Nothobranchius furzeri: one gene and its partner. The protein of the gene in region 1 purifies or fractionates together with the protein of each later gene. This does not show direct contact. Links are inferred from orthologs where the notes say so. Each region holds a gene or a part of one and is shown in the gene's direction. Other genes may lie near its edges.

Region 1 (5,932 bases):
TAACACAAACAACTGTATAACTTACCTTACCGACACCCCGGTAGACCTCGGTCACCCTAGGGTCCAGCTGGGGCATTGGAACCCCTGATACCTCAGACATCACTGTTCCCACCTCGGTTTGCTTCTCTGTGATCTTCTCCATGATAATATCAGCTAAGGTCCGCCTGTGATGGTCACAAAGAGGAAAACAGCTGAGTATACGAACATAAACTTAACCTCAAAGTGGACTTTAGCAAATTCCAACAGCTAGAATTCAAACAAAGTTGTGAGAAATCTTGCCTCATTGGAGGGTTTTTATTCATGAACATCTCAATGGCCTTCTCATCATCAGAATCAACGATGACTTCAGTATCACCCTCCACATCACCATCCCCAGCACCTGCTTCTCCCAGAACTGGCCAATCTTCATCTGAGTCAGCATCCTGGGACTCAGGGCCTAAAATAAACAGGTCAGACAACATTAGAAAATATTATTCATGCATTCAGCAAAGACTTATTTCACCTAAATAGTTCTGAGAAGATCACGCTGGGAACTATTTTTCTCTGTGATCGTCTGACATTTTGTCCACATAAAAAACATTCGTCATTAGTTTTATTTTTGCAGAGAAATAAAGGGATGTTGCATAAGTAACACCGTATAACTAATTACAAAAACACTTTCGTGGTTTCTACGCTTGATAAACCAGACTTAATTAAAAAAAATACTGCCAATTTAAGGTCCGAAACCCTCCATCATACCGAGAACAGTGACTGGTGCTTTCCTCTGCTCAGGTGCCAGGCCATACTCGGTCTGCAACTCCTCTTGTTGAATCCGGGCCTGTTGTAAGATTTTCCTTGACAGACGTTCATCCACGTAGGTGTCCTCACTTTCGACCCGGGCGTCTCGATTCTTCACCCGGCCTCGGGCTCGGATCGTGTCCGCCTGGAGGATCTGGTCGGCCAGTGGCACCGCTCCTCCTCCGCCACTCTTCTCTCCTCCACCGCCACCTTTAGCTCTTTTCACTTTCGGCATCTTTCAAGAGTGACTCAAGCTGCGACGACGCTGTCCGTGTTTTGTTTTACCATTAGAGACACAAACAACGCGGAGAAAGAATTCTGTAAACAGTCTGTATTCTACACGTGCAGATTACCGTACGGCGGAAGTGACGATATACGTAACGTCTGTGCACTGAAAAACATATATATAACATACCATTTTATATGATGTTGATTTTATATGTTTGTATGTAACATACATTTATGCAATATGATTATAAAGTTTCTTGAGTTTGTTTTTTAATTTTCTGAAACAAGGTCGTTTACGTGCACCGGAAGTGTAAATGTTAATCCGGAAGTAATTGCTTCACGAGTGTTTTTTGCAGGCGAGAAATCAATGGGTGTTACTTGGTAAGCAGATTTACTTATGTTGTAGTTAAATGCTAACTGTAATAATATTTTTGTAATATATTTTATCACGCTGTGCATATGATTTCGTTTGGCATGTGTAGCTAACTCGGTGAATGTAGCCTTTATTTGCTTCCAAACCGTTTTACACTGAATAGAATAGTGTTTATTGTCGTTGTACGGTGTACAGCGAAATTAGAGTGCCACTCTCTTTAGTGCAAAATGGAAAACTATACAAAAAATAATACAGAAATAATATAAATGTAAAATGAACAGTAATATATATATTAGTTGGGTTCAGTAAGCAGAATTTTAGCATATTGAGTAAACAGAAATAGGACATTCAAATGTTATTGCACATGATCAATTTTGAACAGGTTGCTTCACGGTGTTGTGTTGTTCTTGTGCTGTGCAGTGTTTGCCAGGTGCCCGTGGCGGAGGGGAAGAGTGTCCAACAGACAGTGGACATTCTGCATAAGAAGCTGGAGCAGCTTGGAGCTGTGAAGCAGGGCAACTTCTGTGTAGACTGTGAAACATATCAATCAACAGTAAACGCTGGCGGTAATTTTCAGCTATTAACCATATAAATATTATCATTCCTGTTGTTTAGGTGCTTTAGATGGATAGTCTTCTGCATTGCTATTAATACAACTTGCTGCAGGGGAATTTGTCATATTTCTTTGATTAAATTCTGCTTTTTGAAAATGTTCTAATAATTATGTCAAATATTTGACTTAAACTCAATTGTCCAGGATATGTGTGCCTTGTGACAAATATATTGTCAAGCTATGTAATTTTCATTTTTACTGATCTTATTTCTCTGTAAGGTTAACAAAAACAGTCATCCATTGGGTAAAAATAGCCAGATTAAAATACAGTTGGTGTGTTTTAGAAAGGTTTTCTGTAAATCTTCATTACTATGTTATGCAAGGTTAAATGAGCCACGTTTCCACTGTATCTTTCCCCAGAAGTCAGGAACATTTAAAAAGCCCCATCCACTGCAAGAATCCGCTTAAATTTGTTTAAATGGGACAGCAGTAGCTCAGGAGGTAGAGCGGGTTGTCCAGAAGGTTGCAGGTTCGATCCCGGCTCAGACCAAAGAATTCTGCTGTTGTGTCCTTGGGCAAGACACTTAACCTGCCTTGCCTGCTGGTGGTTGTCAGAGGGGCCGATGGCACCAGTGCTCAGCAGCCTCGCCTTTGTCAGTGCGCCTCAGGGCATCTGTAGTGACATCATAGCTCATTCCCACCAGCGTGTGAATGTGTGTGTGTGAGTGACTGTGTTGTGAAGTGCTTTGGGGGGATGTAGAACCCTGTGAAGGTGCTATACAAACACAGGCCATTTACATTAAGCTCCTTGAAAAATAGTTTTTATTTTTATGTTTTATAAACATCCGCAACCCGGGGTCTATAAACGTTTGATTTGGCATTTATCTTTCTAAGTTACTACTAGTCTTTTTTTTCCAGGTTTCCACCAATGAGTCCATTAGCAGAGCAGTAAATCATGATCTAATTTAGCTCAAGTGTCCTCCAGAAAAAAAGGTGTCTGCTCTCGCATCCCTCATAAGCAACATTTATATAAACAGGACATGGTATGATTCTACTACTTACTTGTGTAATTTTAAACTTAATAAGCATGCTGCTCTAATCTGTGTCCAAAAATAAAAAAATCATGCAAAGTCATTATGCAAAAATTGCATTGTTACATTTTGCTGTTCTTCATGCAATTTCTCACTTTAAGTCTGGGTTTGTTACAGGTCAGCCCTCCAAGCTCCTTTATGTAATGCACAACTCTGAATTTCCCCTGAGCTGCTTGGCTCTGTTTGAAGGAGGACCCTGTTTGGTAGCGGACACAAACTTTGACGTCCTCATGGTGAAGCTGAAGACCCATTTCCAGAATGCCAAGGGACACAAGGTGGAGTGTCGCGGTTCGAGATATCGCTACTGTGACTTCTTGATTAAAGTTGGCACGGTCACAATGAGTTCCAGTGTTCGAGGGATATCAGTGGAGGTGACAGTTTGGTATTATCAGTTAGACCAGAGGCCCATTGTTCTCTTTTTTGACAGGATTAACCCTTGATGTGTTTTCCTCAGGTGGAGTACTGTCCCTGTGTGGTTCCAGGGGACTGCTGGAACCTCATGAAGGAGTTCATGCTGTCTTTTCTTGGCAACAATGTTCCTGAGCTTCCCACTGTATTTGCTGCCAAGCCTGAGGGTCTTTTTGCACCAGCAGACTCTGTCGACACCATGACTCAGTACCTGGAGTTGTTCAACAAGCTACGGAAGTTACAAATCACAGGAAGCAATGTGCACTAATAACATTTTTTAATGATTGTATTGATGTGTGTTAAATGTGGTCCTATGGAAACCGTATGATTTGTATAGTTCTATTTTTGTAACTTCAGTTTTGTATTTGTTTACCCTGATACAGTTAAAAGGAATACAGCTACAATCTATAGATGCAAATGCTCAACACAGACAAAAATAAAGACAAAAATCTACCTATTTCTGCAAGAAGTAAAAATTCCTTACACTCGGTGGGGAAATGTTGGTGTCACAGCAGCAATCATTCACATCAGGAGCAAAGAAGAACAAAATCCTGTAACATATGCAAGAAATTCTTAAAACATTCAATCGAATAAAAAAAATCTGTGCAGATAGACGAAGTTTATAATGAGGAGTGATGGCATGAAAGGAGAAATGTGTAAATAGGGACCTGGGATTACTCTCCGTGCACCAATGGATGCAGCATTCTGCCGCTGTAGGAGTTCCCCAGCTTCATGCATGGGGTGGAAGACATTGTGTAAAAGTGATGCTAATTTAGCCAGTCCTGTATCCCACCTCCTGCACTAGATCAAGGAGAAATCCTAGGGCAGATGTAGTGTCAATAAGCTTATCTAGTCTCTGTCTTTCAGCAGTAGCTATGCTGCTGACCTAACAAACCACACCATCAAAGATGGCTGATGCCACCATTTAGTCAAGGTCTGTAGGAGCACCCCCTGCACTCCAATGGACCTCAGTGGCATCAGCGGGTAGTGTGCTCTGGCCCTTACTGAAGAATATCTGTGTTATGGCCTCAGTTTGCTGTTCAGGTGAACACCCAGGTCATTATAAGAGTCCACTACCTCAATGTCTGTTCCCTGGATGTTCACCGGTCCCTAACCCAAAGACCTGAAGGTTTGATTAGAACACAAAACAAGAACTCCCACATGCACTTCAACAAATCACTTAATTCACATTCAAGAGTGAGATGCTTCTTATCAATAACATTATTTAGGAATGTAAAGAAAAGTCATCTAATGAGACTTAATTCAAAATAAAGACCAAAGTTAAAAATGTACATGAAATACATGTGGGGAGAAGATGTAAAAACTAAGTTGAAATGTTTCCATATTTGAAGTTAGAACAGTTTAACCCTTCACATGTCTGACGCATTAAATTAAAATACACACACGTTATAAAATGAACAGTTTACTGGACTATATAACTAAATGACTTAGTGATTACATTATTTATGTAATTAAATATAACTGTATAATTATTATTACCTGTCGCCTGTAATACACAGGTCTTCCACTAGAGGAAAACAGACGTGTTCACTGCAGGTTTCTGATGATAGTATCTCTTTGAGTAGTTCTGATGATAGTATCTCTTTGAGTAGTTATGTTCTTGCTGTGCAGAAAAGTAACCGCTTGCTGCTCTAGTGTCTCGGGCTCTTTGTCTGACGCCTCTCCTGCTGCGTCGTGATCTTCTACTGCTTTTGCGTAGCTTCTGTGTCGGGTTTCCACCATTATCACCAAATCCTCTCGTCTAGTATATTGTTCAAGTTCATCAACTCTTTGCTCTTAGGCCGAAATCTTCTTATCTTCAGTTAGCAGTATTTTAAGCTCCTTCACCTCCTCCATCAGTCTCATTAATCGATCCTGCTGTGATGTTACTTTTGACCTCCTCCAGGTCTTCTGTGGCCATTTCTTTACCTCGTCCACCCGCTCTTCCTCCTGGCATCTCTTCCACTCATCTGCAACCGTCGTCCTCTGGTCCCGTGCTCATCGCGACACGATGAATGTTGTTGGGCCTGCTTGGCTCAGCAGCACCCCTCGGCGCTGCTGGGGGCCGGGCCGATGGAACCGCGCCGGGCTCAGGGTAGTACAAATCTTATTAAAGAGATAAATCTCTCATAAACGTAGTTATTTTAAAATTAAATATTTAGTTTTTCATTGTTCTATATTTTACAAATATTAAAGATGTGTAACAATTTTTCACTTATAATACTCCTATGCATTTATTGTCTATGTGGCAAAATATCTAGTTTTCTTTTTAAACAATTACTAGTATTTACAATAATTTAATACTTTGCAATATTTAAGAAATTGTTTTGGCAAATACTGAAATGCTTTTCTCACAATAACTAAATGTCTTTTTTTTTACTTTTTTTTTTTTTTTACAAATATACAGACGACCTTTACCATATACAACATGACCTAGCTACTATAGATAATTGTTTTGTTTTGTTAGATGCAAATGCAAATGTAGCATATCATGAGTTCTAT
Region 2 (7,781 bases), on another chromosome or scaffold:
GGCAGGACGGGGGGAAGGATATGGGGCTGACCTTGGTGCAGCTGAAGGGCGAGAGCTGGAGAGTGAGAAAGCAGTGCGTGTAGAGGGTGCTGTTGTGTTTGAAGGAGTCAGCTCTGCAGTATCTGCGGTGTTCACACCGTCATTATGCTCTCCAGGCTCAGGTTGATCGTGGTTTATGTTGATCTCTAAGCTAAAACGAAATTCCCCACTGTTGGGGTTGGTCCGGCTAACAGCCCGCCATGTCTGGTTGCCGCTCTGTCCACTCCGGGTGGCATTACCAGTACGTCTGAAAGTGTTGAGCCACTCCAGTAATGAATCGCCATTAGAAGGTTCTGCTCCAGGTTCTGTGTTCCCTGTCAAAATGTTTTTAAAAAGTTAGAACTTAGTAAGAAAACATTTGCAGTTATCTTAAGTCCCAAAATTCCTGGTGAATGCTATTGTCTGGTTTGTTTAATCCTAACCATGGAACCAGAAAAGTCAGATAAACACAAGAACATCATACCTGCCCCTCCTCTTCCTCCAGCACCTCTCTCCTCTCCCCCGCTGCTACTGCTCTGTTGTTCTCCAGCGTCAGCAGTCTGTGAGCGTTGCTCAGTGCCGGGCTGAGACAACACACGCTCTTTTGCTCCATCCAGACGCTGTCGCAGCTCCTCTGCAGTAACCTCCCCTGTAAAATATTTTGCACATTGAGGGTGTTTTGAGACATGAGCACCAGAGAAACACCTCTGTGCTTAGATGCTCCAAAGACAGAAAAACATAATTAAAATTATTATTATTTTTTTTTTTTAATTCTGGTTTGGAAGTACTAGATACATTTTTCACATTCACAGAAAACCTTTGGGGCTGCAACATCAAGTAAAGACTCATGTAAAGTGACAGTTTGGCCTGGACCTAAACTAGTGGGTGACTCCTCACCTGGGGTGCCCAGCAGGTTGCTGTCTCTCATGAGACGGTACTCTTCCTCACTCAGTTCATTTATGAAGTGATAGTATGCCTCCTCCCGTCGAAGACGCTCTGCCTGCCTCTGGCGTTCATCTCCCCCACCAGGAGGGTCCATCACCATGGAGAGTGCTGGGAAGCAGATGAGCAAATCATCAGCTGATGATGGAAAGTGACAGTGACACGCAAAGCTACCCACAGCAGCTTTACCTAAGTGAAAATTTGTTATGGATGCATATAAACAAGAGAATGCAGTCAAAACTGATAACAGCTCCATTCTTAAGTCGAAAGATGAGTAAATAACATTTGAGTTTGAGGTATATACGCACTCAATATGCTGTGGTGCGTTGCAGCTCAACAAGAAATGCAAATTCAAACCTGATCAGTCTTTTAAAAGGCCGAGAGGAAAACCAACGTCAACCATTTTCTACAAGAGCTACTGCAATAATCTAGCTAACATTTAGCTTGTGTGTTAGCGTCAGAAGTTAAACTATTTTGTCATGTGGAAAAAAATAACAAGAGTACAAGACAGCTAATAAGACAAATAATACCGATGTAGTCTTCATGAAAGCTAATTTTAAACAAGTGGATTTATATCGAGCGAAGGCCACGGCTAATGTAAAGCAACAAAAGTGCCGCTGTCATCATGGTCAGCGACCAATCAGCGGTCTAGCCTCGGTGACGGTCACGCCCGGCGTCCAATCGCTGTTCGGCAAAGGCGGGCCAAGCGAGGCTAACGGAGGCTTCCTCCATGTAGACGCAGAGCATCGAAGCAAAGACAAAGAATCCTGTCCGCATAATCAAACAGCAGAATGATTCAGATGTATGCCATCAACAGTGAAATTATGTGTTGTCGCACAAACGCACGAGCACGATTTGTGGACCCTTCATAAACTGCGAAGCGTAAAATTCAATGCGCAACGCTTCCGAGTGTTAACTGAACATGTTAGCACAGCCAGCAATCAGTCGATGCCCAGTGTTAGCTCCGAGAAAAAAAAGAAACACATTACCATGGGGAATTATTTTATCGATCAGTTAACACACACGAAACACACAAGTTAAAGAAATCATACTCTCGTGAGACGTGACATTAAAATTTATAAGATTTAGATACCTGACAAGGCAGTTATAATATGGACGGTTGGCTCAGCTCTCACCTCTCACAACCCAAGATGGGACCAGCGGTACAAGCATTAAACCGTCCGTCTGAAACAAGCACCGCATTTTCTTAGTTCCTACAAAACAATACTGTCCAAAGAGATGTTTATTGGTTTTTTAACCAGTTTGAAAGGCAGATCAACATTATCAAAAATAATTAATTTATGCTGTATTTAAAATGAAATTGTGTACATTTTACTTTAACATTTGTTATAAGCAGGTCCTCCTAAAAATGACTGAGATCACGATCCAAGAGTAGGTCATGAAACACCAGTGGGTGTAATTTCTAGATGATCTTCATTAATCAACGTAAATCTAAGAAGAGTAGCTAATTTGTCACTATTTATTTACTATCACGGCTATTCTCTCCACACAAAAAGATAAGAGACGATGTATGAATGAGCTAGTCAAAGAATGCTGACAGTTCTGGATAAAGTAAAGAGCCTTTAAAACAGTTTTTGTTAGTAAATCCTAGAAATAAACAAACAAATAAATAAAAGAAGATCCAAACTGTGAGCCAAATGCAAATTCAAATGCATTGTAAAATGAGTTCATAGTAAGAATTCTATTGTTTCCAGTTCCCGATAATGCAATTTTCCTACTAACTATGACCAACTTCTGTACTCATTTTATCTAATCACCTCTTTAAAATGAATGGCATCTTTTCATCTATGTTTCTGTTGTTAAAACATAAATTCACAGTGATTAGTTAACAGAGATAGAAATTAGCTTTTATTGAAGACAAATACAAGTGTTGCACTGTCATTGTGAATCCATGATAAAGAGAAATCCAAAAGGGACACAGATGTCCCTCCACAAAATTGTCCTCCAACAAATTACTTTTTACCTCTTCAACTCACCGCTACTTATATGGATAAACCCTTGAAGATGTCATAAATGGGGGTTTGTTATAAATTGTCAAACACTTCCATCAATTATTGGGTATTGACAACTTACTGAATTAAATAGGCCCAATTTTCTTATTTGCTTAAAATTTAAAAGATGGATATTTTGTTTCTTATTTACAAAATCTAATTGAAGGGCTTTTTTAACCAATAAAAACGCTTTTTGGTGGTTTCCTGTCTGTAACACGACACTAAAATAAAAAAACGCTGTTTTCACAATGTAAATGCGTTACTGATGAGGTTCTAGACACGTATTTCAACGTGGTTGGGTCTGCTTATCCCATGTTTCCATCCTCTTTTCTCCGCTGCAGGACCGTCTTTACGACGTTTTACGACAGTGCTGTCGTTGCCGACTATGTACGTCTCTTTGGAGCAGATACCGGCTGGGGGGAAACGCAGCAACAACAGAAAGAAATAAACAATTGAGCTAGTTTCCACTAGGACTACCTCCAAGCGTCGCGTACCCCTCTTCGGAACATTCAATTTGACCCGAAAACTCGACACGTAAGCTGGGTTGAAAGAGGAAAGAGCCACGCTGGGTAAGGCAACTATCTGAAATACCAACCCGAGCTCGGTGGAGGAGCCCAGCTGCCTCCCAAGCGACGCTTTAAAAGAAGAAGAAGAATAAGGACGGCGCTTAGACATTTACCCAAACCGAGGTGAAAATGGACTATGATTTTAAAGTGAAGCTAACTGGAGAACGAGAGCGTGTCGAGGACCTGTTTGAGTACGAAGGATGCAAAGTGGGAAGAGGCACTTACGGTCATGTGTATAAGGCGAAGAGAAAAGATGGGTGAGTTGAAGTGCAGCAGGCCTTCAGCAGTCAGCCTCCCTCCCTCAGATTAACACATTTAAACCGCTTCCTCACGTTTTCTGGCACAAAGGCCCTGTTCTGTAGCTTTAGCACCGTCTTCTCTTTATTATGGGATGTCTTTATTTCTGCAACACGACTGTAGCGCATATTTATACTGTTTTTGGTGTCGGTCTTTTATATATTTTTACAAATGAATATTCATTAGATGGAGTTTGAATATATCTAATTTTATCATATGCAAGTGAGAAAACTCCTGCAGAAATTAACATTTGCGCCAAAACAATGTTTATTTGTGGAAATACTAATAAAAGTGATGATCAAATATACTTGAAAATTAAAAACAAAATGATTCAGTAGCAGAACATAAAGTGAGATTATTTTTAATTATTTAAATTATAACAAATCTGTTAAATATATATGCTATTAACTTCAGTTTAAGTAGCTCTCATTATTGCTGCTGTTAATGTTTATTTTAATTATTTGATACTGTATTATTATTATTGGGAAGCCATATGTTTTTGAGATAATAGAAATGTTACACGCCGTATAAAATTAAGCTGTTTTGTTCAATGAATGTTTTTACTGCAAAGTAAAAAAAATCACGTTTTTTTGGCTTGTGTGCTGGATTAAACAGAATATTTCATATTTGTTTATTTAAGGATCCCCATTAGTCTTCACAATAGTGAAAACTATTCTTCCTGGGGTCCACTTGATAAAAGAAACAAAAAGAAAATGCATACAATATCACATAGACAGTGTAGGATTAAAAGTACAATATTTCATATACAATGTAAGAAAAACACAAACTCCTATAATCAACCTCATAAAACAAAATCATAAAAAAGCACTAAAAAGTCAATTTAAAAATGGATCAATGAATCAATAAAACAATAAAGTGTCAGGGTGTTAATTCTATAAATCTAAAATCTATTAATCTGATTGAAATAGCTGTAACTGTTGTCTGATATAAGCTTATGTTTTACAAATTTCTTGAGATTCACTTTAAACGCATCATGAACATTTATTGTTATTAGTTCAGGAGGCAGGATATTCCAGCATGTGACTGCTCTGTAAATGACTGTTCCTTTAAGTGCATTGGTTCTTGGCAATGGAAGAGTAAAGATAAATGAGAGGCATTCCTTGTGTTAAAACCATGCCGCTCACAGGTTGGTAACAACTTTGTAAACAAGCTGAAAGGTTTATGTAAAACCCAGATTTTGTGTAACGACACAACCAGGCTGCAGGCCGGTCTGTCATTTACACTCATCCATGACAGATTAAAATACATCCAGTGGATATTAGTTTTAAAAGGGCAACCAAGAACCAACCTCGCAGCTCTGTTCTGAGCTCTCTGAAGCTTGTCAAGGTCTGTCTTTGCTGCACTGGACCAAACAACTGAACAGTAATCCAGATGAGACAAAACCAGAGACTGTACAACAAGTTTTCTGGTCTCCAGTAACATATACTGAGCATTGCTCCTAATTACATAAATGCTCCTACTCATTCTCTTTACAATATTATCAATATGTGTAGTCCATGACATTGATTGATCCAATGTTATGCCCAGTAGTTTGGTCTCTTTTGCTTGTTCAGTTTGTTGTCCCCATAAATAAATGTCTAACTGGTGGGTTTTTCTTACCAAATTCCTAGAGCCTAATAGCATACACTTGGTTTTTAATACATTCAATTTTAGCTTATTTCCCTCTACCCGCTCAGAGATAGACTTTAACTCCTGTTGAAGCATAACATTGACCTGAACTAAACTTGAAGCTGAAACAGATATGGTCGTATCATCCGCATATAGAGTCATGTGCGCTTCACTGCATGCAAAAGTCATATCATTTACAAATATACTGTATAATAAAGGACCCAAGCAACTTCCTTGGGGAATCCCACACAAAAGAGTGCCAGTGTTTGACCGACTACCATTAAATATAACACATTGTTTTCTATTAGTCAAGTAGCTACTCATAAAATTGATAGCAGTCTTGTTAAAACCATACGCTGATAGTTTCAAAAGTTAAATGTCATGATCCTCAATATCAAATGCAGCACTAAAATCCAGAAGCACTGCTCCCACCAGCAGCTTCCTATCAATCTGTCCCAACCATTCATCAGTAAGAGTAGTCTGTGCCGTACTGGTAGAAAATCCTTCTCTGTAAGCATGTTGAACATCAGTGTAAATGCCATTCACCCTAAAATAATGTTGAATCTGTTTAAACATCACTCCCTCCATCAATTTTCCCAGAACTGGTAAGATAATGATCATATAGAATATTTATATCAGAAGAAGCTAAAGCTCTTTTATTTGATGCCGTATTTTGTGTTTTATGACAAATTTGCCCCAATATGTTGTGACTTTTAAAAATTTGTGACGGAAAAGTGGCCTGAAATCAAAAGCGAGGAGAAAATGCAACAGTGGCATTTTTGGTTTCAGGGTTCAGCTGTTAAAACGTTGCTGGCATCGCCTTACTTTCTAAAACGTTCTAATACAATATCTTTAAGCCCATCTGAGTCCTAGAACTTCATACCAGCTGGAGCCACACACCTAAAAGATGTTTGTGTTGTTCATGAGAGTCCATTAACTAAGTTATGCTGCCACCTTTGGACTGAGGAATCTGGGGTTTATGAAATGATTTAGGGAAGTTTGAGTGAGGTAGTGGTTGCATTCAAGTGCGACTCGAGCCAGTCCCAGTACTCTGTCCTTTACCTGCTGCCAGACAGCGTCTGCTTTCTCTCCCCTTTCTTATTGTTTAGAGTCTCTGAGGTGAGCTTGATTACACAAATCTGGAGGTAATGCAACTTTTTCTCCTGAGTCCCCATGCCAGCTGTCAAGTGCCCCCTCCTCCTCTTCCATGCCTTCTTCTGTTGCTGTGCAGCCTGCTCTCTGGGGGCCTGCAGCCTTGTCTGTTGTTGATGTTGCTCTGCCTCTTTTTCTGTGTTTGTAGGAAGGATGATAAGGACTACGCCCTCAAGCAGATTGAAGGCACTGGCATCTCCATGTCAGCCTGCCGAGAGATTGCAGTAAGAGCTGCTTGTTTTTTCTTTTGTTTGGTCTGCGAGGAGCAGATCGTGTCATTCCCAAGTGTGGGAGCTAGTTTGAAATTAACCTGTCCATCGTTCCGCAGTCTAAAGGAGACACATGACGACTTAAGTTATAAAAGTTCTTGATGCAAAACACGTTTAAGAAGTTATTTGTACTAAATTCCTCTCACGTAAAGTAATATAAGCAGTTTTTCAATTCCTTCCAGAATGAGCCCTTTCAGAAAACAAGCTGGTGCTGGCCATGCCCATGCACCCCCTGTCAGGCTGCTATAGGCTGAGAAGCTCAGATATCAGGGAGGGGCTCGGAGTAGAGCTGCTGATCCTCCAGCAGCAGCTCTCTCTTGCACCAAAGGTGGTTCGGTGCTAATTTTACCAACTGTGACATCACAAACTGGGAATGTTTGAAACGGCTTGTTTTAAGCTCATAATTTCTAAAACCAAACACTGAAAGGCAACTGATTTCTTTTCACATTTTTAGTGTTAATAGAGACCCCTAGCCTAGTGAACTAGACCAAATTCTTGCTTTGCAAAGTTTGGTCTAGGCACGCTCCATTGGAACCTCCGCAGCTCCTACCAGGACTCTGGCTAGCCAATCACAGCTCTCTAGAGGGGTTTCAAACACATAAAGAGCTGTGATTGGTCCATAATGGTGGGCCAATCATAGTGCTCTATCTGCTTAGTGAACAAATCACAGAGCTTCATCCGCTTTATGGGCCAATCAGGGCACTCTATATGCCTGGTGGGTGGGATGATGCAACAGAGTGAAACAAGAGTATGTCACATTCATTGTCCAGTGGAATGCGGAGATTATTTGAAAGACAACGGTAGAACCCACCCCACAACCGAGAGCCGTCAATGACTACGTTTACATACAGCCAATATCCGGGTTATGATCGGGTTAAGGTCGGGATTCGGGTTTC

What was found. The genes of interacting proteins can lie anywhere in the genome.
Region 2: the proteins of med20 (region 1) and cdk8 purify together in Homo sapiens (affinity purification with mass spectrometry; 8 studies listed by BioGRID and IntAct, counting the BioPlex papers as one, with this or other methods). This does not show direct contact. The link is inferred for Nothobranchius furzeri from reciprocal best matches to the Homo sapiens genes MED20 and CDK8.

The regions. Positions count from the first base shown.
Region 1 is NC_091743.1:46,651,445-46,657,376, forward strand, and holds med20 (mediator of RNA polymerase II transcription subunit 20), read left to right. Parts: upstream 1-1,280; 5' UTR 1,281-1,372; coding exon 1,373-1,386; intron 1,387-1,798; coding exon 1,799-1,944; intron 1,945-3,139; coding exon 3,140-3,393; intron 3,394-3,476; coding exon 3,477-3,698; 3' UTR 3,699-3,887; downstream 3,888-5,932. Other genes in the region: bysl (bystin), read right to left, coding at 26-164, 280-436, 739-1,012. UniProt on the Homo sapiens protein: Component of the Mediator complex, a coactivator involved in the regulated transcription of nearly all RNA polymerase II-dependent genes.
Region 2 is NC_091747.1:51,004,734-51,012,514, forward strand, and holds the start of cdk8 (cyclin-dependent kinase 8), read left to right. Parts: upstream 1-3,465; 5' UTR 3,466-3,667; coding exon 3,668-3,795; intron 3,796-6,764; coding exon 6,765-6,840; intron 6,841-7,781. Other genes in the region: E3 ubiquitin-protein ligase RNF6, read right to left, coding at 1-353, 503-667, 916-1,071, 2,097-2,133.